Caenorhabditis elegans: one gene and its partners. The protein of the gene in region 3 interacts with the protein of the main gene of each other region in a pairwise test. Each region holds a gene or a part of one and is shown on either strand. Other genes may lie near its edges.

Region 1 (8,077 bases), on a different chromosome or scaffold from region 3:
GCCGATGTAGAGAAATGCGGACAAATGTCGAAATATGCAAAAATGATTGCATTATTCTACATTTTTCGACACTGATGAATAGGGGGAAAATGTATTAAAATACATGTTCGCATTTTTCACCATCACATGATTAAGCCGATTATTCAAGTAATTCTGCAAAATGTTTTTAAATACAATTATGACGTCACAAATGTATTTAAATACATGTTTTATATACTTTAATACAGTTCTGACGTAATTTTTCTACACTTTTCAATTTTCCGACATTACTTGAATAACCCCATTAAATACATAAAAACATGTATTTTGATACAGTTGTGACGTCATTTTTCTACACTTTTAATTTTCCAATACTACATGAATAACGCCATAACAAAACATGTTAAATTTAAAGCGTTTCATCTTATTTTAATATTTAGTTACCTGAATATGCTTTCCGTCGGCTAGCACCCCAACTTTGTAAACTCCAGCCACAGTTGGTGTATAGGATAGAATAGCACTACCATCTGGTCTCTCTTGACATCCGATTTCCGCTTTCGATGGTCCTTCAACAGCAAATGATAGATCTTTTGATTCTCCATTCATTTCCACATCAAACACGCATGGCTCATTTACAATTCCGCCTTCAAGTCCTGCTCCGAATGCTCTGATCTTCGAAGAGCTTTCCGGTGCCACATGGATCTTATGAGATTCGATGACTTCACCAGCAACCTTAACGAGTACTTCTAGATCATCAGGTGCTTGCTTTGGCGAATATTCGAAATCCATTGACTGAGATTCGTCATTGTAGCCAACTGAAACTGGTAGATGAGAACCATCCGACGGTTTCAACACTTCCAAAGAAATGTTTGCGTTGGCGATATTTTCTTCCGGATCCAACGATTCAACGTGGACACCAACGACATCATTTTTGCGAATTCCTTCTGGAGCAATTCCACGTCCCCACACTTTGAACGAATCTGAAAAACAATTTCATTACTTTTTTGAAATACAGAAACAGAGACATCATGGATTCAAGATTTAGTGGAATTCCGGATCTGTCACCGTGCCAACGCATAAAACGCAATTTTTCTCGAAGAAAAAACAGTTTTCTTCAAAAGTTCTCTTCAAGAAAATATGCTTAACAACACGCAACATGGAGCAGTTGTCACGTTTTTCTTTGAGAAAAATTGTGTTTTGTGCCAGATCCCTAATTCCACCAGATCTTGAATTCGTGGTGCATCCAGAAACTCGATTCTTATATTTATAAATATACGCACTCTTTGGTTTTCCACGCAGTGGGAATGGCGATCCGGTCAATGGGAGCTTCTTGTGGAAAACATTGACTGAATGTAGTCCAATACACGGAATTTTGTATTCGAATGAATGTTCTCCTGGTGATGTACCATCCAAGATAACCATTCGGTGCTCTTTTCCAGTTGGATCAACAACAATTGCTTCAACAGGACCTTCAATGGCGTCGACCACGGCGAATTTGACGTCATCTCCGACTTTGGCGGTTTTGTTATAATCGAGAAGGCGGGCGATTGGAACAACCTGAAGAACAAATTCAGATTATATATAAATTTTTTCTCTACCTGACAAATGACGCTAGCCTCAGGAATGGTCTGAGTCTCAAACGTGTGAACATCGTTCGCGGCTACATCCACGTGGATAAATCCAATCTTTGTAGGAGTGAACTTGACTTTGTAGGCGTTTTCTTTATCCTCAACCTTTTTAAGACTCAAATGAATATCCTGTCCATCTTCATCTCGGATCGAGACTTTCGGCTTAAATCCATCACGAGAAAGCTTCAAATCAAACTCTCTAGGATCATTGACTTGGAGAATTTTGTCCAAATTTGAAATAGTCGCTTGAACCTTTGGCTTCATTATTATTGGTTTTGTTGCAGGGAACTGTGAAAGATATGTCATTACAGACATTTCATCAATTTCCGGATGAATCATCTCAGCTGGAGCAATGAGTGGAGCAACTTTAAGCAAATCTTGAGCAGACTTCATGGCTTTCTCAGTGTTCTCCAGAGCATCATTTGGCGACCAATTTTCCCAGTCTTCAAGTGCTCCTGGAGCCATCGAATTGACAAGTGCACCGAGAGCAACTCCGTCGTTCCAGTCGGAAGTGAAGTTGGAAATCGGCATTCCTGAAACTTTAGGGTGATGAGTAAATGTTGCAATTCGAAATGGTACCTGGAAGACGATTACGAATCCAATTGAGGAGCTTTTGCTTCGGAGTCTCCTCCTTATTATCTCCATCTTCTCTTTTTTCTTGAATCCATCCCATCGAAATTGAATAATGGAGAATCAATGTCCAAACGAGTCCCAGAATCAATTTCTTGTTATGATCCACAATATGAGTACTGTCTGTAATTTAAAATAATGCAATTAAATAGAAAATGGGTTGTGGTGACCGAATATATAACTATTAAAATGTTTGAATGATTCTGTATTGAGCCAAAACATTGAGAAGTCAGGTTTTAATCAGACTTTGTCAAAAGTTCGAGACATTTTCGGTAAAGCTCGTGTGGTAAAGAATTAAAACGCAAAAAAATACAGTAACCCTTGTGATTTTTTTTTTTTGTCGTTCTCTCTCCTGATTCTGAAATCAAAATGAGAAAATTCACAAAACATTCCCTGATTTTTCAAACGACGAATTTTCGCACCAGAGACGCCATGTGTCGATTTACGACAATTTTGTATATTTACGAGATATTTTTAATCCTTATTGGATATAAAATCAGGGAAATTTTTTTGAATTTTTTCACATAGAAATTCAGAATCTGGGAAAAATTTGGAGTCAATTGAAAATATTTCTCAGATTTTCTTTAAGAGATAGTATCGAAATGAACATTAACTTGTAAATTAAAATTGAAATATTCAGTGTTTTGAATGTTTTTTAAAGTGGCCGTTTTTCCGAAATTCTTTCTCTAAAAACGACACTAATTGACACGTCGAAATATTGGCTTAAAGTCCCGAAAATGGGTATTTTTGTTGCGAAAAACGGTGGTCAACCTATGTTGTTCGTAATAATAGAGGAAAGGGGAACTCCGTGTGCTCGGGCGAGAGCTCCCATACACTGAAAACAAACAAAAACATGTTTGAACTACGGATTCGTCCTTTTGAACTGCTTCACCGCGCGGAGCAGTCTCGAAAAAGGAAAATATATCGTTTCTACGATACTATTTTTCAGGATTTCAGTGAAGGACTGCTTACCAATATTGATAATCTTAATATTCTCTTCATTCTGGAAGAAATTCAACGCAAGAGACACATTTTCGAGCTTCTGTGAACGAAATGCCACTTTCTTGTTGAATTTTCCAACATTCTTGTGGGAGAGAACTTGAGCCAATGCAATAAGCTTGAGACCATCCGAGAAATCAGTTTCCTGAAATTATAAATATAAAATCACTGAATAAAGTAATCCAAAACTCACCAGACTCTCAATAGTTTCTCCAGCCTTTTGCAAATGATTTTTGACCCATCTGGTGAATGTATTCTGTTGGATGATCTTCCATTCGGCGTCATCGTGACGGATCGCCGGAACGACCTGAAAATATTTATGTTAGAAAGTTGTATAGTCTTCTGAAAATAAATACCTCTTCTTCCTGGTCAAGGCGTTTTGGTTGCGCCATTTTAGACGTTGATTATTGCAAGTTTTCTAGCAGTCCTATATTATTCGCTTCTGCAAAAATCAAGGTATTGATAAAGAAGCGTGAGAATGAGAGAATAATACATGATTTAAATCGTACGGCCAAAAGGTAAAATCATTAGAAATGTCGATTCTTTTCTATCGACATTTCTAATGATTTTTAACACGTAATAAACTGCGAATACATGCATTAAAAGGTGATAATTGAATAAAAATTAAGTTCCAATGAAAACTTTTTTCTTTTAAATAAAATTTAAGTAACCTCTGCGAAAATTGCCAAAATTTGAGATTTTAGCTTAAAAATGGTAATTTTTCCACAACTTTGAACCGCCATAACTTTTTTGAGAAATTTTCAAAACGTCTCATTACGAAATTCGGTAGTTTTGGGTCATTTTTGGTCTAAAAAATATTGTTTCAGATTTCGGTACTCTGCCTTTAATTGATTATGGTACATTTTCAGTAAATAAGCACATAAATTGGTTTTTTTTGTCTAAACTGCACCTAACGACTTGAAATGTAAAATAATTAATGAAAACCCCACAATAAACATCTAAAATGCGCAAAATAGTGATAATTAACAAAAACCTGATTTCCGGCCGCTGTGGCACGTAAAGTTGGCAATAGTTGGAATTTTGAGATGGTATAAAAAATTTAGTTGCTCCATATTTACGATGAGAAATCAACGAGATAACAAACTAAACATCCTGGAAAACTAAAAACTGAAGTTTTTTTGTTTCAATCTTCAAGTTTAATAAAATCGAAAGCAGAGTTTTTGTTCAAACGAAAAGCTAAGAGAATTGAAGAAAACGCGTGCATGGTGATTCATATTTCATTTTTTTTGTGTAGGAAAAAGACACATAATACAAAGAGAACAAACGAATATAGACACGGATGGACGGCTTCTGGTACAAATGGAAGAATTGTTTTAGGGGGGGGGGGGGGTACTGTAGCCAATTGAAAAGACCAAAGACATGGGAAATTAATTTGAAAATCTTTTGGATAGAAATAGAAATACGGTAACGACAAAAAACGGCAACGTTGTACTTAAAAGAAAACTTGGTGAGAAATGCCCATTCTACCAGAATATAAAGTCTCGAGCTGGGGTGCACGGAAATTCTACAAAATGAGGTGGTGAACTTGTTTCCCTTTTTTTCATTGAAATTTGATGATACATAGAAAAACATTTGCTTTATAAATTGCGGAAAAATAACGTAAATTTTCAACTTTCGGACAATTTTTGAACACTTTCTCGGTTGTTTCAAATAAAGCAAATATTTTTCTATGTATAATTAAATTTCAATGAAAAATATCGGGAGAACATGCTCGACCGTCTCATTTTGTAGAATTGCCGGTCGGCAATGGCTGCGTACTCCTGTTTTCGAGTTTCGAAATTACAAAAAAAAACACACTTTAAAATGTTGACCAAAATCTAGTCAAAACTCGAGTCAATTGAAGAAGGAATTGCGGTATCCATATAAAGTCCAAAAAGAAGAGAAAGGGCACTGCGATGATCAATTCTCAAAATTTATCACCTTATTCCCTATTTCACACCCACTAAAAATGAACGACAAACGCAGACAGTGAAAGAGAACTTTCATTACCATTTTCATGTGCATCGTTCGTTTAGAACCGAAAATTTAACGATTCTCGATAGAAATATGAAAGGGTGTGCCGTTTGGAGGAACATTTGGCAAAAAAAAAAACAAAGTTTCTTTTTTGGGCGTTCTTCAAGAATATTTTCGTATTCTGAATCATCTTATTGCCACATTCGTCTATTGTTTCAATTTGACACTTTTGTAGACCGGATAGAAAGAACAAAACAGTGAAAATGTGACTCAAACAAAAAAGTTGCCAAATCCTGGAAAATGTACAAGTTTCGGAAGTTTCCACAACACATTCATAACATCTTCAAGGTCATCTAGGCGTCTTTGAATGAGAAGGTAAGATGACAGAGGGGGAGAGAACAAGGTGAAGATTTGTTGCGGGAGGAAATGGAGAAAAGGATCAACCTAGTGACCCGCGTTACCTAAATTTTCACCAAGGGCAAATCGGTAGACGTTCGGCAAGAATGTCAGGCAAAAATGTGTGGTGTGCAAAAATTACCAGTTTGCCGGAAAAAAGTAAAATTTTGGAATTTTAATGATTTCTTTCAAAAATTTAACAGTAATCCTGTTTTTAAACGCGCTGGAGTTTGCATTTTTAAATTTTGAACAAAATTGCAAAACCAAAATCTCCTTTTTTGGAAATTGCCGAAAACATATACTTTGCCGCCCACGATGTTGAGAATGCGTTAAAATGCAATTCTTTTGGATTAGAATTTACGAGAGTAGACGACGCGGCAAGATATGCAAATGTGATTGCTTTTGGTGTTTGTGGGGGTGTTCTTCGGTACATTTGGTATCATGAACTGCATTGACTCATTTATTTTCTCACATATAGATGTTTATTTTGATGCCACATGCCACAAACACACTCACGACATTTCTTCGGAAAATACCAAAAAAATTTGGTGTTGAGAACGGGAGGAAAGCGTGGGTTATTTATATGCAACTTTTCGACCGATGACTGTTCACCTCTGATAAGAAACTCGTCAAACTCTTAGAGTGGCAGCTGAAACAGACGTCAGTGGCCGAACTTCAATCAATAATGAAAATAACTATGGAAAGAGATCGCCAGCAGGTAGATATACTCCAAAAATATTAATATGCCGTGTATAATATTCGAATTAAGGAAGAACTTTCGGAGATGAAGATTAATAATTATTGAGAGAATAATAATAATGATGACCCGGAAACTAGGCGAGGATAAAATCTCAAACATCAGAAATTCCTTGCATGGAAGGAAAACTGAAACAAGCGGAAAAATCTATCAGATTTTTCCCTCGTGCATGAGCCCATCTTCTTTACGGAGGGAGCCCGTGCTACCGACAGATGAGACGATGTCTAGGCTCTCTGTGATCCTTCACACTCTGTGTTCCAATGAAGCACCTGACATTTGTGTCTCTTGAATCGATTTGTCTTTCTGTTTTCCTGATTTCTCTTCTTCTTTTCTGCTCACAATCCCCCACCAGATTTGATGATATCTGTGGGTGCGTGTGCATCCACGCTGTTTCCACGATAAATGTACGCAACGCCTTGTGGTTATAGGTTAGGGTTATTACAATGATCACGAGCAAAGATTTCTTTGTGCCGTAAAAGACAAGAACACGAGTGAGAAGTGAAAAATCTTTGAAAGTTCCATGACAATGTGGGTGAATTGTGGAAGAATTCCGAGAAAAAATTATATAAAATTTGATTAATTCGAGCTTTTCTAGGTGTGCTATTGATAAGTTCATTTTCAATATAAATTCCTTTTAAATACAGAGAAACAACGAAACTCATAAAAATAGAATAAAATTGTCAAAGGTTTCGATATTTCTGCCAATTTTGTACGGAAATTTTGATCATTCCTGTTCAAAAATGGTGAACCTCTATGATTTTCCGTCTGAAAATCACGAAATTCCAAGCTTCTTCAACTAATTACTCAAATCAGGGGAGAAATTACCCCACAACCTCCGAATAGCAGACTTACAACTGAATTTCTGTATTTTTTGACTCAATTAAATGAAAACATTTTTTTTTACACAGAAAAATGCAATTTCAATCGAAAAAACGAAAAATTCTGTTCAAAAACAAAGAAATCCCAAAAAATGAGAACTCAAAAAGATGTAAATAAACAAGAATATTCAAACTGCCGCCACCAATTGGCGTATCGTGGCGAGACCCTTTCAAGTAAAGTGACGCGCCTTTAATTAGAGTTTTAATTTTAATTTGAGAAAACATTCGGTTTTTATCCGTTTTTCAGCTAGATCTTGACAATTAATTCGTTATAATTGGTATATATATTTATTTACTACAGAAAAAAATCACAGAATAGTATATATTTATTTACTACAAAAAAAATCACAGATATATTGGTGCAAATAGAGAAAATTCAATGGAAAAAGTAATTAATTAGAAGTTGAAGGTGGAGCTGAATAAGTTGCGTCAATGTACAGAGCGATAACCTCGTCCACTACTGATTTTGGTACTTGCGCAGCCATTCCATACATCGCAGCCATTCCACTGTCAGCTTTTTGTTCACCTTTTGCAGCGAGTTCTTCACAAATCTTCTCAAGGTCGACGGCGAACGCATTCACAACTTCCTCGTTCGCTTGATTGATTGTCAAACAAATGTGGATTCTGAAACAAAAAATTTAGCAAGCTGATAACTCATAAAATTGATAAACATACGCCGCTGGATTCTGCAGAGTGTTCAAATTCCATCCGAGCTTCATCATTTTGTCAGAAACTTCGTAGATATTCACACCATTTCCGGAGAACGCCACCAATGAAACATCCGATTTTCCATAAGGCTTGATCCATTTGATTTTCTCAATTTTCTCGGCCAGCAT
Region 2 (8,077 bases), on a different chromosome or scaffold from region 3:
TTGTTGGTTCTGGCTCTCCATTGATTCTTGCTGAGAATTCATATCGACAACCTTCGTCAACCTAAAATTAGAAAAATATTTAATTGAAGTTTTTAGAAAAAAATTGTATTATTAAAGCTAAATTCCAATGGATTTCGAGTAACTCACTACATCATCTTTTAGTTGAGTGATAATCTGTGGAGCCTGAACTCGACTACGTTCCTCCTCCTGTTTTCGGACAACAATGTTTTGAGAAGCAGCCTGCAAAATTAATTTCAAAGTGTTTATTTTTATTTTTTTATGAGCTTACTCTCTCATGAAGCTCCTTCACTAGTTGTTGAACTTGTTGTTGCTTGGTCATGGTTTCCTGTACTGTTTTTGTAAATGTTTCATCTTTTCTAAATCTTGATGCATCCTCGAGTCTTCGTGTCTGAGCAACAACTGTTTGCTGAATTTCATTGACTTTTTTGATTTTAGTCTCTGATTCTTGGACTGTTTTTGGAGTCTTATCAACCAACTGAATTATTTCGATAGTTTCTTCTTGCCACATTTGGATCTCTTCCACAATTTTCTTCAGAATCTGAAGTTCTTGCTTCTCTTCAGGAGTCAATGTTATTTGAGTTTGTTCAAGGCTGGTGAGCTCGATAGTTTTAGTCTCTTCAATCGTTTGCTGTGGTTTTGAAAGTTCGAAAGTTGCAGAAATAGCCTTACGCTCCAATGTTTCGGCCATTTCCCTGATAACTTTTTGTTTTTCAACAGCTCTTGAAATTTGTGTCTTCACTGCAATATCTCTAGCTTTTGCCACAACATCCTCAATTTTTGGCTGCTGAACTTCAATAGCTTCTTTCACGAGCTTTACTTTCTCTTGCAATTCCTGGCTCTCCTAAAATTAGTAAACAGTGAGAAAAATTTTAAAAATTTATTACCTGAACAGTTTTCATTGGCGTACTATCAAACATCTTGATAATTTCAATCATTTCTTCTTGCCACATTTGGATATGTTCTGTTACTTTCACGAGTTTCTGTTGCTCCAACTTTTCTTCCAATTCAACTGTCAGATGTTTGAGTTGTTCTTGAACGTGCTCTACCTCTTCCATTTTGTGCACAAATTCGGGAACTGAAAAAAAAAATAAAGTTTTTCAAATGCATTCAAGAAAAAACAGCGCAACCGTTGCAAACAAACCTTGAGACATTTTTTTGACTTCTTGAATTCTAGCTGACTTGTGTTCGATGGTCTGTTGCAAATCATGAACTCTGTCAATCAGTTCATTGGCTTCTTGAATGCTTGCCGGCTGAGTTCTGTCCAACATTCGGATAATCTCAATAGCTTCTTCTTGCCACATCTGAATCTCTTGCACCACCCGAACCAACTTTGATACTTCCAACTTCTCTTGAAGTTCGATAGTAGTACGACGGATTTGTTCTTGATTCTCAATTGTTTTATGCAGCTGAGTTTGGAATGTCTCATCTAAAAATTGAAATCTTTTTCTGAATGTTTTAAAATTTAAACTAACTATGCGAAAGTGTTTTGCATGCTTCCAAATGTTCGCTCTTCTTGTCGACTTCAACTTTCAAATCTTCAATTTTTCGCCTTACTTGCTCGAACTGCTCTTGGTTGTTGGATTGAGTAGTGACAACTTGATTCATGTTTCTTATTATTTCAACCATTTCTTCTTGCCATATTTGCACATCTTCCACAATTTTGAGCAAAGAGGTAAGTTCAACTTTCTGGCTCAACTGATCAAGCCGTGTTTTGACGTAATCAGTTTTATCAATTAAAACGTTGATTCTACTGATTTGTTCTTCATTTTGGTTTTCTTCTTTCAATGTCTCTAATGTTGATTTATGCATATCAGCAGCACTTTTGAATGAAGCAATCCTCTTCTGAATCTCCTCAACTTCCTGAAGCAATAAATAATCTACCAAATTACAGTGAAAAATTATTCAATACCTCTTTCTTTGTGACCGTTGAGTTATCGACCTTTCCAATAAACTCTAAAACATCTGTCTGCCACATTTGAATCTCTTCGATTACAGTTTCAACTTTGGTTTGTACATTCTAAATTTTTAAATTACTTTTGCAAATCCTACATTTTATCGATTTACCTTATCTCTCTGCCACTCAGTCCATTTGTGTTGAACGTATTTGAATCTGTTCTCATGGTCGGTAATCATATTGCGAACTGCTTCTTGAGCTCTTTGGATATTCAACCACTCGTCTGATTTTCCGATTTGAGTTGCATTTGATATGAACTTTTCAGCTGAAAGATTACGTTTTAAAAATACCAACCAAATTATGGTAACAAACCTTGATGTTTCTCTTGACTCAAAGTTTCTAAAATCATCTGGAACACGTTGGAAATTTGTGCCGCCACTTTCTCATTTGTATATTCTTGATTGTTCTCCAAAAGTGTTTGAAGAGCATCAAATGAACCTTCAAGGTCTTTTCCAAACTTGTGAACTTGCTCGTAAGTGGAGCCAATTTGAATTCGGTTCTCCGAAATGTCTTTTATTTTTTCATACTTCTTCATAAAATCGGTCAGTTGTTGTTCTTCATCTGGAGACATTTGTGGCTTCTTGGCGAGAAGACTCATAACGTCAGCGTCTCGGTTGACGATTTCAGTTGCAAATTGTTTATGAGAGACAACGAAATCACGAGCATCATTCAAATTTCCACCCATATCACCTTTCTGTGCTAAGAATGCAGAAGCTTGTCCATCCAGCCATGATTGGATGTTTGAGAACTGGAAATTATAACCTTTGAAGTTATTATAAATTAATGGTAACGTACATGAGAAGTCGTCTTTCCAGACTCTTTCCTTTGCTTTGCAAGAGCTTCTATCTCACGCAACTTTTCTGACAAATCTTCAACGTATTGCTTGACAAGTCGTTGTTCTTCGTAGCTCAGAACTTCTTTTGCTGCAAGAATAATTTTTACCGATTCTTTTTATTGATAATTGACCTGTTAATTATTTTTAGAAAACTTACAAGCGATATCCTTTCCTTCGTGGATAAGAGGAGATGCTTTCTGCTTTGCCAAAGGTGCTAGCTCTCCAGCCATAGCCGCATTTGCGCATTTCATGTCTTCAACCATCATATTCAACTGAGATACCATCGATTTTGCGGCTTGAAGGAAAGCGTGAATTCGATGTGATCGATTCATTCGGGTTTTCAGATAATGAAGGAATTCCTCAATTCTACCGGAAAGATGAGAAATACGTCCCCCGTCTGATGATGGACTCTGCGCTAGGTGACGAAGACGGGATACATGCTTCTGAAATGTGTAATTGCTTTTTCAGGTACATAAAATTGAACCCACATTTCCTTCAGTAAGAACATTTTTCTGTCCAGCATCGTTGAGAGCTTTGACTTTCTTTTCCGCATAAGTTAGCCATTGTTCAATAACAACGAGTTCATCTTCTGTTGTAGTTGTAGCATTTTGTTGTGTTGCTCCCGACTTTCGCTGCTGCCAAAGTCCTTCGGATCGTTCCCAATCAGCAGCAACTCTTCAATTTTACTTTTTAAATAAAATGTTATAATTTTAGATCTTTAAAAAAAGTTGCAGAACTATATTCCTAGGTTTTAAAAAGTTGCTTACCTCAACATAACACTTTCAATTTTTACTGATGCATCTAAAATCTCTTGTGGTCTCTCTGGATTGTCATCAAGTTGTCCCAATGTACGAATTTGTGAAATGACGGAAGATCCCAAATCTACTACAGAAGCAGTTGTGTCAATGATGTCTGAAATTTCAGATTTATTTTTTCTTATTATAAAATCAAAGCTTACCATTAATAAGCTTATCGATGGATGATTGAAGTTGTTGAGAGTTTTGCTCGTTGATTTGTTGCACAATTTCAATAGTTTTAGCATTGGATAACTGCAGTTAATAAAATCACAATAAAAAACGGTTTCAAAAATCAACTAACCTTTTCATGACTTTCAGCCAATGTATAAAACTGTACAGTCTCTCTGAGCATATATCCTCTGAGGAGAAGTTGTCTGTTCAACGATCTCCACGTCTGAAGATGCGACATTTTTAAGGTCGTACTGAAGACTAAAAACATGAAAACGCATTCCGTCTGGATTCCTACACTACGCAGATTAATGGGCTGATTTATGTGCAGCTGGGTAAGAATACTAAAAAAACCGAAATGCATACAAACCTCCCGCAAACTCTTCGCCATTTCGTCGTAAACAATCGCTTCGTTCGGATTCGTCTTTTCTGCTCCGAGGCTGTCGGCACGACTCAAGAGAGCTACTACCTGGTCATCTTTGTCCTGAACAGTAGAAATATATTATAATACAACTTTTGACAGAAACTCACTTGAAGCCTTCTGATGAGATCATCATGGATGTTGAGCAAATCTCTAGCTTCTTGTGATGAATTTCCTATCGAAAGTAGCTTCGGCTGCATTTCATCAACACGAAGTTGGATATAACCAGCACTCTAAAGAATTTAGGTTTAAAAAATTAATAAAAATAGTTTCAACCTTTAAAAGTGCAACTACAATTGATGCATTGACACCAGCTTTTACAGCAATTGTTGATAGTGTTGTTGTTGATTTATCACCCTCTTCACTATGTCCTCTTTGCGCTACAGCGCTGAGGTTGGCGTCATTCGGCGCCCCTCCTGGCGCCATTTTATGATGGTATTGTGATCTTTCTGAAATATTGGAAAATTTATTGGTTACTGAAAAAAAATTAACATGATTTGAGCGAGATTGTTAAATTTGGAGAAATATGCAAGATCCAGTGTCAACAGGTAATATAATCTCAGAGTTTAGCACCCCGGGGCAATATTACTAACAAAAATACGGTAATCTGACATTTTAAAAGATTTCAAAAACTGAAAACCGGAGAAAGAAAGGATGATGGATCAAGCAAGAACGCTGAAAACTGGGATGGCTTTCCAAACAATTGGCAATTGTTGATGGCAAAATTTGGAAGAGAAGGGAGCAGGGTGAAAAACAAAAAACCGCTTGTTCTGACTTATCAAAATATGTTTAAAATTTAGACATACGTTTTCTTTTAGTCGGACTTCAAAATAGGTGTCTCTTTGTAAAACTTGGAGTATAGTTAATTTAGTTTACATACAATACTCCAAGAAAAATAATATCCAAGCATAAAAATAAGTAAGTACAAAAAATTAGTATAAAAAGTGCCGCCCACTCCTAAGGTTGTCCAACTTTCTGTGGTGCTCTCCTACTATTACACACGTTCTGACTGGGGATCCTCTCTCATCTTCCTCTTGCTTCGGAAGGAAGAGTGTAAAACATTGAGCCAAAGCACATCAAGAAGTGGGATGAAGCAGGAAAGGAGAGATAGAGAGAACAACAACACAAAAATGCGGGCGGAGAGGCGAAGGAAGAGGTGATGGATAGAGAACAAAATGGAGCAGGAGCATCAGATCATTGTGGGAACAGAAGAAAGCCGAGAAAAAGTGATCAGTTAATTGAATCTCGTGTATATTGATAAAAAATTGATAAAAATGATTGAAAGGGGAAGGATTAAAATTTATTAAAAACTTGTTTTTCTCAGATCAAAATCAGAAGTTTCAGGAAATCAACTAGCGTTAAACTTGTAAAAACGCACTGTTGAATGAATGAGTATCTAAAAACCAATTACAATGAATGATAATTTCCTACTTGAAATTTGAAAAAAGTTTTTATTCAACTGTGTGAACGGAACGCCAGGTAATTTTTATTGAAGAATTAGCAATGGTAACTAATGAAAATTCAAAATTATCACTCAAAAAAATTTGAATTCTCTTTGTTTGAAACAACCATTCAAAATTATCCGTCTGGTATCGAAAAAAAGAGTCGAAGAAAAATTAAGAACAGATGTACTCTAGACACATTGAAGGCGCCAATTGTTGGTGATGGCGGTGTTGGTGAGTATGGTGTGTGTGGTCGTGGGACCCGTCCGTCGGTTGTTTCTTATCCGCCCATTACAACGTATGGGAACACATCTCGACGGAGTTAGCCAAGAGATCAGCTTCTTCAGATTTTTGTCCAGTGCCACGTTTTCGGATGCTGCTTCTGCAGGCATTTCCAATCGGGAAGATTTATTGCAACAACACACATACAAAAGGATATTCAAGTTATTTTTCGAATATTTGTGTGAAATTTTCGAAGTATTCGGGTAGCAATCAGAGTTTTTCTAAATTTTCACGTTTTGTTTTCACACTACAAGTTTTATGCTTTCCGCAAAAACATATGTAGGCTATTAACATAAAACGGAAACAACAAAAATCTAGAAAACATAATAAACACAAAATTTTCCACATGGTTTGTATCTAAGTTATCATAGGAAATTAATTTTTAATTTTTGTCAAATATGATTTGCATTTGTGTTCTGAAAGTTTAAAAAACTCTAAAAGAATTGCTAAATATTTTTGGAATAAAGTGATTTTTCTTGTATATGGAACATTTTATTGAAACAATTGAGGCAAGAATATTAAAATGGAACAATATGAGCATCAACATTATTACTTCTTTCTTCCATAATACTGTTGCTGTTGCTGAGTTTGCTGTGCATTCATTTGTTGATTATTCGACTGTTGTGTTCCTGTATTAGGTGATCCCATTGATTGGGTGTTGGTCTGTTGATAATCTCCAGTTTGATATTGTTGATTGTTCATTTGTTGGTTGCTGGTCTGCTGATATTGGGAGTTTTGGTTCTGGCCATTCGACTGTTGGAATTGATTTTGACCATTTTGACCATTTTGTTGCTGGTATTGAGTATTTTGGTATTGTCCATTTTGATTTGCTTGCTGGAATTGTGAGTTTGATCCCATTTGGTTTCCATAAGCATCACGTTGTGGGGTATTTCCAATGGCATTGGTGTTTGTAGTGTTTCCACAATTTTGAGCGTTACACAAACATGGAGCCTGTAAAGATAAAATGTTAAGATTTGGGCTCAATGAGATATTTGTACCGTTGGCATGGTTGGCATTGTTGGGATATTTGGGAAAGAATTGTTGACTGATGGAAGAGTTTGGAAGACTGAGTTAATCCATTGGCCAACCTATAATCGAAAAATTAGACGACTAAATAACATTTTAAATTCTTACATATCCGTTTACTTGGTTCATGTATTGATCAACGCTGTTTCTGTATTGTTGAATTTGTTGAAGTTCTTGTTGAGTGGCTTGTCTAGTCTGTCCATTTTCAATCACTTGTCCATCCTTATACTGACAGTTTCCATTGTTGAAAGAATAATCCATAAGGGAGACACTGCTACTTCCACTGCTAGCTTGACTCTGGCTCATTTGGGAATTTTGATTAGAATATCCATTATTGGAATATCCTTGCACTTGTCCAGATTGTCCCATTTGATTTTGTCCAGCGTCATATTGTGCTTGTGTTCCGTAATTATTTTGTTGTCCTTGCTGATACTGATTAGAGTTTTGCTGGTTGTTCATGTTTGATGTCGTTGAATATTGATTCGAGTTTTGCTGATTTTGCATTTGATTTTGATTGTACTGAGCCGTGGAACCATATTGTTGATTTTGGTTATATTGAATTGGTTGAGCGGTTGCTCCGTTGTTGTATTGAAGAGTGCTAGATCCATATTGATCATATTGAGCACCTTGGGAAGGTTGATATTGTTGATTCGTAGAATACGCGGCTGCAAATTGATTCGTAGTGAATGTCTGTCCATTGTTATCGTCTAAAATTATTCTAACGTTTTTCTAAAGTTAGTTTAATTCTGAGTTAGTTCGAATCATAAAAAATTGAATTTTAACTCACATTGTTGCTGAGCGGCTACCGCAAGAACGCAAACTGATAAAATCGTTAAAAACTGCATGATTCGTGAAACTTCTGTTCTTTTTCGACGACCTTTTCACTTATATACTCAATGATCGGTTGCCAAAATGAATCAACGCAAATAGACTCGTGGACACTCCGCCTCTTTCTATTTAACTTTCTTACTTTTCAACTAACTACTGTGGAGAAGAAGATTTGAAAATCCAAACAATCTACACTCGGTGTTTACTAGAAAAAAGAAAAGAGTGACAGTTTGCCACTTGATCACAAAATAATGATGATGAAGTTTTGATTGGGTTGTTATAAAAAATTGACTTCCTCAATTT
Region 3 (8,077 bases):
AATAGAAGCAAAATGAGTAAAAAATGATACTAAAACATCACATTAAAATCATATATAATATAATCAATAAACAAATTCATGCTCTTTTAAATATGAGACGATGAATCTTCTTCCGACACTGACTCATTAAAAGTTCCGTTTTCAAGTAATGGCCGAAGTGACCGACGACGAGATGGTCGAAGTGATGGGCAACCAACAGAATCCGTATCAAAGAAATGACGATAAGTGAATTCATAGAAGGCTGGATTATGAAGACCTCGCACATTCGGCTTGTCAGCACGGTCATTGTCCTGGAAATTTGGAATTAGAAGTGTGATAGGTTTTGAAAGAAAACTTTTCAAGATTCCAAATTTAAGTTAAAAATTTGAGTAGTGAAACTCAATTATGTTTTTATTGGAGCTGCTATGTATAATAGTTTCAGAAACTCCACAATTAATTTACTTTAATTCAAATAAAAATTCTGTATTTCAAACTCAAATATTCATAATTTTGATGCTATCTTTTTTATGTCTACATACATAAAATTATATCTAACTTTTTTAGACACTCTAAACAAAGTTTAAAAGGAAAAACTCACTTGAAACGTTTCAAAATTAGAAGTGTCTTCATCGTGAGTGACCCGAGGAATATAAATATAATCAGCTCTCAGTTTTCTCAAGTTAACCCAGTCAATTCCCCTGAACCATGGATGATTTTTGACTTGTGCCGTTCGTTCGGCAACATCCTTCCCGTGAGATCCCAATCTTGACGACGCGTCACAAATTAGTTGCTGAAAAAGTTTTGGTCTTCACAACGTCTATTTAAACAAAAAAACTTACTTGAATCATCATAAGGCACTCTTTTGATAGATTTCCACAATATGTAAAATCAAGGAAGTTTCTCCAATTCTTAATTCGATGTTGTGTTCCACCAGGTGTATCATCATGAAATGGCACTCTTCCAAATACCATCTCATACAAAATCACTCCAGTCGACCACCAATCACAACTCTGATTGTGCCCGGTTTTGGCAATTACTTCGGGTGCCATGTAATTTCCTGTTCCAACAAGAGAATGGGCGGTTATCCGGCGGGTTTGTTGTCGAACATTTAGAACTTTAACGCTTTTATCAATAGCTGCAACTTCAGGAGGAAGCGAGAATGAATCGACACGATGATGGTCGTTTTCAGGTCCATAGTATCTAGAAAATATTGGATGGTTTCATGTGTGACTTAAATATTTTTTGCACAGATGTTGAGCACACCAACTACAATTAATCATTTGCGTCGCGCCTAGGCTCTATTCCATTAGACACCCTCTCTTTCTCGTGACAAATAAACAATACATAATCTTACCTTCTGTCATGAGTCCACCTCAAACCAGTGCACAATCCAAAATCAGTCAACTTAATATGTCCATGTTGATCAATTAGAATATTATCCGGTTTCAAATCTCTATGAATAAATCCAACATTATGAACATATTCAATTGCACATGCCAGTTCAGCAATGTAGAATCTAGCGAGATCTTCTTCAAATATTCCTTTTTGAATCAATAAAGTCATCATATCTCCTCCGGGAACATATTCCATTATGAAGTATAGACAAGCATCATCTTGAAATGAGAAGAAAAGACGAACAATCCAAGGAGAATCAGCTTCTGCCAGAATATCGCGTTCGGCTTTCACATGGGCGGCCTGAAAGAAAATGGTGTTTTTAGTCAAAAAGTTTTGAAATTATTTTTCGATCATATCGCTTTACAGTCACATTTTAAAAACTACTAGACTCACAATATATCTGATATATTTTCCTACTAGTAGCAAATATAGAATCAATTAAATTAAAAAAAAAAAACCTAGAGTATCAAAAATGTTAGACTTTGCAGTTTTCTTACTTTCTATTCAAGGTTTTATTTCAAACGTAGGACACCAATATTTTCAAATTTTTAAACCAAGATCCTAAACAAATAACAAATCCTACCTGTTGTTTCATTATGACATCCGCTTTTTCCAAACTTTTCATTGCATAAACCTTCCGAGTATCATTTTTTCGAACCAATGAAACTTTTCCAAATGCTCCAACACCAATATGTGAGATGACAGTGAAATGGCTTTTACTCATCTTTTGTCTTCTTAATCTCGTATATTTTGACTCTTTTTGTTGAAGTAATCCCAGCATTTTATTCCTCATAATATCCGGTAATTGAGCTGAAACCATCTCCTTTTCCAACTGTTTCATTCGTTTTTCTCGTTCTTTATATTGCTGTAGAAGTCGTTCAACATGTTGTTCCATATAAAATCGAAGCATATTTGGTTTACATGGTTGAACTCTTCGTGTATTCTTGATGTATGGTTCCAAAAGTGTTCGATCAATTGGGGAGCTGACTCGTTTCGGAGGTGGCTCACTGGGTTGATTGTATTGAGGAGGAGGAGGTTGAGCACGTGATTTCATTGTGATTTCGAGATTTCTTGGTTTGAAAAGGATCGGCCGGAAATCTTCATGATTTGCATCGGAAGTGGATGGAATCAGGCGAGGGTCGGGACGCAGCTGAAATCATTTTATTTTTAGGGTTTATCCCCGAACTTTATAACAATTATTGTTCTATTCATAAAATTCAACTGGGCTCTCGAAACCGATTCTAAAGTAGTTTTGCAAATTTTTGCTGATTATGGGTGTCTGCGAAGACAAAACTTTTAGTCTCTTATATTTTATGAGCTCTGTCAAAAAAATGACTCTAGAAATATCAGTTAAATATTTCAGAAGGTAGGAGTTGAATTTTTCTCAAATTTACCTCATCTTTATAGTTGACAAAATTCTTCCTATCGACATCAGCTGTATACCGTGGACCAATAATGAATGATTTGCTTGGAAGAGGACTATCACCAACATTTACTTTTGTCTGAAATTAAAAATGAATTTTAATATCATTTGAGGTCATAAAATACCGTATGAGGAGAAGCAACATTGATACTAACAACACTACTAGCTGTTTTTTTGTCCATTGATGTATGATAAAGTCTCTGGATATTATCTGCTTTTCGTTCTTCACTCCTGAAAAGTTAAAGCAAAAGATTTATAGAATCCTTCTGATATCGTTTAGAAAACTTACATTGTCTCGATGGAAATCGTAGATTTTGCTGGAGGAGGCGGTGGGGGTGCCATATTCTTGTTGTGATTGAGCATTGTTGGATTCGGTGGTGGCGCTTTTACAACAGGATGAACTTTCATATGCAGGTGAGTACGGTAGTTGTCTGTTGCAACTGGAGTCATTCTAGTGTTCACCGGAGATGAATCGTAGGCTGGTGGAGGTGGTCGAGACTGAAAATTTTCATTTATTAAAGTGTCAGGTCTGCCTACTAGGGGTGTTTGTGTGTACTTTATTGGACTCTTTAATTTATTTTACAAAAAAAATTTCAGAAGTTATGAACAGGTCACAAGAAGGTCCCCCTATTGCTTGAACTAGGAGTATTTTTCAAAGAAAGTTTTGGTCCATTTTCTTTTCAGCTTAAACTTTCAAACTTTGTCAATTTGGAAGTATATTTTGTTACTAATTTTAGTTGTTCACACGTGTCTCGCCGTTGATTAAAGTGCCTTTTCAGTTTACGGGTGCACTAAATATTATCAAATATGTGACCGAAAATGTAGCCAAATCAACAGAAAAACATGGAACGAACGACCAAAATATGAAAAGTGATAATCGCATTGACAATTTGGACTTTTTTCAAAACTGAACCACCGCAAACCAATTTTTTTAAAACAAAATTTTAAGTGGGACTTCTCAGAAAAAGTACTTTCCGATTCTTTAGTATTATATTTTTTCGAGAACAACTTACATATCCTGGTGAGTATTGTGGTGCATTGTTATTCATATGATATGCAGGAGTTGGCATATCATATCGATATCCAGCAGGATGTATCCTAATCGACTCTTCAGTTGTTGTAGAAGGTGTTGATGATATAGTTGTTGATGGATTTCCATTTCGAATCATCTCTTTTCCACTTCGAAATACTGTCTCATTGGCACCAGTATCCATCATTAAATGTCTTTGTGGCATTGGTGTTATCCGCATCTTGTGACCACCACCTTCTGTCTGAAAATATGATTTTTTCACTTTTGAACCACCACCCTTCACCACTTTTGAAGATCATAAATCGATTCATAGTTGACAATTTTCATAAAATCCCAAAGTTGAGCTGAGCCACCTATTTCATAATTTTTTATTCAATAGAATTTCTAGCTAGTTTGCTACAATTCCATTCTTTTTTTTTTCGAAGAAAAATATGACGCTTTCGGCCGGTCTATGTATAAATTTCAAAAAAGTTATGTTTTTTTTGGGCATACGAACTGACCTAGACGGAAAATTTGACGGACAATTTTCCCAGCCAATCGAATTTTATTTTTTACTCTCAAAATGTTTTTCCATTCGATTTCCAGGACCATTTTTGATTAAAAAAAAAGAAATGTGACTCACTCTAAAAGAATTCGAATTTGATACAGCAGCGCTCGAGACTGTCGTCGTCGTCGCTGCTGCATTTGAAGAAGAAGACGAAAAATTCATCACTTCCGCATTGTCATTGGTGATGTCAGAATGGCTGACGGAAGAACTTGACGGTGTTGCAAGTGATCCAAGAGCCACGTGACTTGATAATAAACCGGCTTCATGTTCGTAAGCTTTCAGCGATTCGCGAATTTCGTCGAGTTTTGCACGATGACGCCCCACGCGGATTTCCTGGAAAAACAATTGGTTTAATTAGTTATGCCAAATTATGGTACCACTGCCCAGATGCGAATTTTTTAGAATTTTTGTAAAAAAAGGATTTCTTTAAAGCAAAAAACTTTGCGTTTCTATGGAAGTTTTCAATGTTTCAACACTGAAATTGTACATTTTTCTGAGCAATTTATATATTTTTCATATGAAAAATACTGATTCATTGATTACGAAACTATTAAAAGGTGATGCTTCTAAATGGAATTTTAGGTGATTTCATTTTCTTATCAAAACCGCCATTCCAAGTGATAACGTCTGCCATGAAAGCCCCGCATTGTCTCGGAACGCCAAAGTGTTGAATAAGAAAGGGTGAAGTAATTTTGAGGATTTTTTTTTAAATTTTAATGAGTTCTACGAATCTTGAACAGATTTTGAAATTCAAATCAGGAAAAAAAAACATGGAACTGCAAAAAAAAATGATTTGCGATTATAGATGTATTTACAAACAATAGCAAAGCCAATATAATTTAAAAGAAGACCTTTTGAATAGGACCCCACAAAAAATTTAGCAACAGAAGAGCATTTTGAACTAGAAAAAATTGGTCCGAAAATGCTAGAGGTAATTTTTAAGTTAAATAATTTTTTAAACGGAAATCTGAAAGCATTTTGATCGAGTTGATTAGGGGGAGAACATTTTTAAAAATTTTATTAAAACTCCTAGAATTTTCAATTGCTCTTAATCACTGAAAAACAACATGTCTGCAAAAAATAGCTTTTGGAGCAAGTCTACAGCTCTCGAAAGTTGTGAAAAGAGCACTAAAAAGTTTCAGATCGTGACACTTTGCCGCTTAAAATTTACAACGATCTAGTTTAAAGGTCCTCTTTCAAATGACACATGGTTCAGCTGAAAATCTAGGGAGTGATCAAGCCAAACAGATCAAGATCTGAATCAATAACCCAATCACTTTTCCAAACCAAAACCTACTGAATTGTGATGGGCATCTATCGCTGAATTAGTAGAGCCAAATGGGATCGGAGCAACTCCACGTTGATGTCTGATATCAGAAGATGCACCATTTGGAGTAGTACCAGGGGCAGCAGGTCGCATTCCAGGGGAATACAATGCAAAGGAGGGCCTCCTGCCGAACACTGACAAACACACACACGGAGAAGGCGATGGGAATGGATTGAAGTAGAAGAAGAAGAAGGTGAAGAGATAGAATGAAATGATGAGAGAGACAGTGATACAAAACTTTCTGTGTCTCTTATCGTTATGTGGTCTCTTTGCTTCCCGCCGCTCTCTCTCTGACTCCCGCAGGAAGAGGAGAAAAGTCTTTACTCTCTTTTGCAGGACATCTCTCTTTGTCTTATTCTCTCGTGTTGTCTCTTCCAACATTCCTCATCCCTCGTCACTCTAACATCTCTCCCCGACTCTCCAACCTTCTAGTGCTCATTTTCTGCCGTTTAGTTTCCAACACATTTAGGACGCCTGTGTCTCGGAACCTCTCGCCGTATCATCAGCGGCCATCATCGCCCGTCGAAAAGACATACTTGCCGGTATCCCCCCGTCATGTCATCCAGCAGAAAGCCTCTCATACGGTAAGTTTTTAGAAGCTTTTTATAAAACTCTGTGTTTGAACAAATATTTTTAAAGATGTTTTCCTGTTTAAAATTTGAATTGAAAGCCGATTTTGAGAACAACTTCGAAGTGTTGAAAATTTTCCGGATTCAAAAATGTGCACAATTTGTAAAATTCACCAGCTTTACTGAATTTAAAACAAATTTTTAACATCTGTAGAAAAGGGGTGCTCCTTGCCCTCGCCGGTAGTGGAGAGGCACTCCAGGCGCCCCTGTTACTGTCGACTGTGCCTGCGTACTTTTGAGAATATATATTACCTTCAACATCTATATTTTAAATACTGAATATTGGAATTTTCCGACAAAAAAATTACTCTGGCTTAAATTCTCAACCAAGTTTTCAAATTGTTTCTGTAATTTTGCATAAGACCCAGTAAGTGCTATAGTACATCATCAGCTTTTGTAATTGAATTAGAAATACGTACTCAAGTGATTTTAGGTTAAAACTGGAAATTGGAGTTGTAATTTTTTCACTGGAATGATAACTCTATATATTACTACTGAAAGAGTCACAACTCTGTAGTTTTTCTTATTTAAAATGCAGTTTTGAAAAAATAACAGTAGACATAAGCTTGATACTCGAATTTTCTTGTATTGACTCAGTTTTCTGTGTTTTTATGAATTTTGATGATTTTTTAAATCAAACAACTATGCATTTCCTCTAATTCTACTACAAATCCCCTTTAATCTCCGTTTTTTTGCATTCGTCAGCCTATCAAAAATCGATGTCTCTTTCCTTTTTGTATCTATGACATCCACGCAGTCTTCCGTTTGCATAAAAACGAAACGGTGCGCCGCAGATGTCGCGTGGCTTTTCCCTTTTTTGTAACCATTAAACAAACATATAGATACATAGAAGGACAACGTTTAAATAAATATTCAATTTTTTTTCTTTCAGGAGCAGTTCACACTCGGATCGTCCTACTACAATGAGGAATTGGCCCCTTTTTGTATTTCTTATTTGCCTGGTAATATAATTAACAAGAAGTCAATGAAATTATACACTTTTTGCAGGTATTATTCTTTTACGCATTCTACGTATATCAAGCTCAAGGAGAAGTTTTATCCCAGACAAACGAAGAAGTTCGACAACTATCCGCCCAGCTGAGTCTCACCAAAGGAAAGCTTGTTGGTTAGTAATTTTCTGCCGTTTATCTGAAAATATAGTATCGTTTCTTTAGGAAGTATGGCAGATTTGGAATCAGCGAATAGTGAGAAGAAGTCAGTGTCAATTCAATTGGATGATATTACAAAGAAGAACGAAGAGTGTATGACATCCTTGAGAAATACGAAATTGAGAGTTGATACACTTGAAAAAGACGGAAAATCGAATACCGATAATTATACGTGAGTTGGGGAAAAATAACTACAGTAATAATCTACACTACTCCAATCAAAAACAATTCAACAAAAATCAACCTTAGAGCTCAGTTCATTAATTAAATGAATATATTTCTCCCAAATTTAAATAACCAACACTTTCAGAAAAATGCAAGAAGAACTATCAGCGCTCAAGGAAAAAGCTGAAGAGCTTCAACGAAACAACACTGCATTGAATTCTCTTGTCTCCACACAAGCACAACTCATCAACCAACTCAATCAGACTATTGGAATGTAGGTTTCAATTAACGTTACCAAAATATAATTTGTTTTTATTTTCCAGTATTCAATTCGAAAAGGAAGAACTCAAAAACGCTGCTCACCTTAACAACTTGACTCCAAAAATCGAGAAGCCAAAGGATAAGCAAGCGGA

The links.
Region 1: the proteins of wts-1 (region 3) and fln-1 interact in a two-hybrid assay, tested with the Caenorhabditis elegans proteins (one large-scale study listed by BioGRID).
Region 2: the proteins of wts-1 (region 3) and F21C10.7 interact in a two-hybrid assay, tested with the Caenorhabditis elegans proteins (one large-scale study listed by BioGRID).

The regions. Positions count from the first base shown.
Region 1 is NC_003282.8:372,385-380,461, forward strand, and holds the start of fln-1 (Calponin-homology (CH) domain-containing protein), read right to left. Parts: upstream 3,629-8,077; coding exon 3,593-3,628; intron 3,544-3,592; coding exon 3,430-3,543; intron 3,382-3,429; coding exon 3,210-3,381; intron 2,361-3,209; coding exon 2,187-2,360; intron 2,147-2,186; coding exon 1,578-2,146; intron 1,537-1,577; coding exon 1,260-1,536; intron 1,220-1,259; exon of another isoform or gene 1,137-1,219; intron 960-1,136; coding exon 424-959; intron 1-423. Other genes in the region: spl-1 (Sphingosine-1-phosphate lyase), read right to left, coding at 7,634-7,865, 7,917-8,077.
Region 2 is NC_003283.11:9,109,335-9,117,411, reverse strand, and holds the start of F21C10.7 (Ig-like domain-containing protein), read right to left. Parts: upstream 4,646-8,077; 5' UTR 4,623-4,645; coding exon 4,473-4,622; intron 4,430-4,472; coding exon 4,307-4,429; intron 4,260-4,306; coding exon 4,146-4,259; intron 4,002-4,145; coding exon 3,909-4,001; intron 3,860-3,908; coding exon 3,769-3,859; intron 3,723-3,768; coding exon 3,578-3,722; intron 3,486-3,577; coding exon 3,299-3,485; intron 3,254-3,298; coding exon 2,968-3,253; intron 2,899-2,967; coding exon 2,771-2,898; intron 2,724-2,770; coding exon 2,288-2,723; intron 2,241-2,287; coding exon 2,086-2,240; intron 2,039-2,085; coding exon 1,931-2,038; intron 1,882-1,930; coding exon 1,494-1,881; intron 1,448-1,493; coding exon 1,163-1,447; intron 1,097-1,162; coding exon 906-1,096; intron 863-905; coding exon 290-862; intron 241-289; coding exon 148-240; intron 62-147; coding exon 1-61. Other genes in the region: pqn-31 (Prion-like-(Q/N-rich)-domain-bearing protein), read right to left, coding at 6,470-6,871, 6,919-7,008, 7,055-7,653, 7,734-7,791.
Region 3 is NC_003279.8:10,292,053-10,300,129, forward strand, and holds the start of wts-1 (Serine/threonine-protein kinase WARTS homolog), read right to left. Parts: upstream 5,876-8,077; 5' UTR 5,795-5,875; coding exon 5,672-5,794; intron 4,708-5,671; coding exon 4,450-4,707; intron 4,069-4,449; coding exon 3,811-4,068; intron 3,296-3,810; coding exon 3,087-3,295; intron 3,029-3,086; coding exon 2,923-3,028; intron 2,877-2,922; coding exon 2,769-2,876; intron 2,525-2,768; coding exon 1,958-2,524; intron 1,675-1,957; coding exon 1,334-1,674; intron 1,180-1,333; coding exon 819-1,179; intron 770-818; coding exon 578-769; intron 291-577; coding exon 87-290; 3' UTR 27-86; coding exon of another isoform or gene 1-26. Other genes in the region: T20F10.2 (Si:ch211-1a19.3), read left to right, coding at 6,257-6,285, 7,223-7,292, 7,339-7,456, 7,506-7,671, 7,810-7,938, 7,988-8,077. UniProt on the Caenorhabditis elegans protein: Phosphorylates yap-1 which may negatively regulate yap-1 nuclear localization. Plays an essential role in larval development.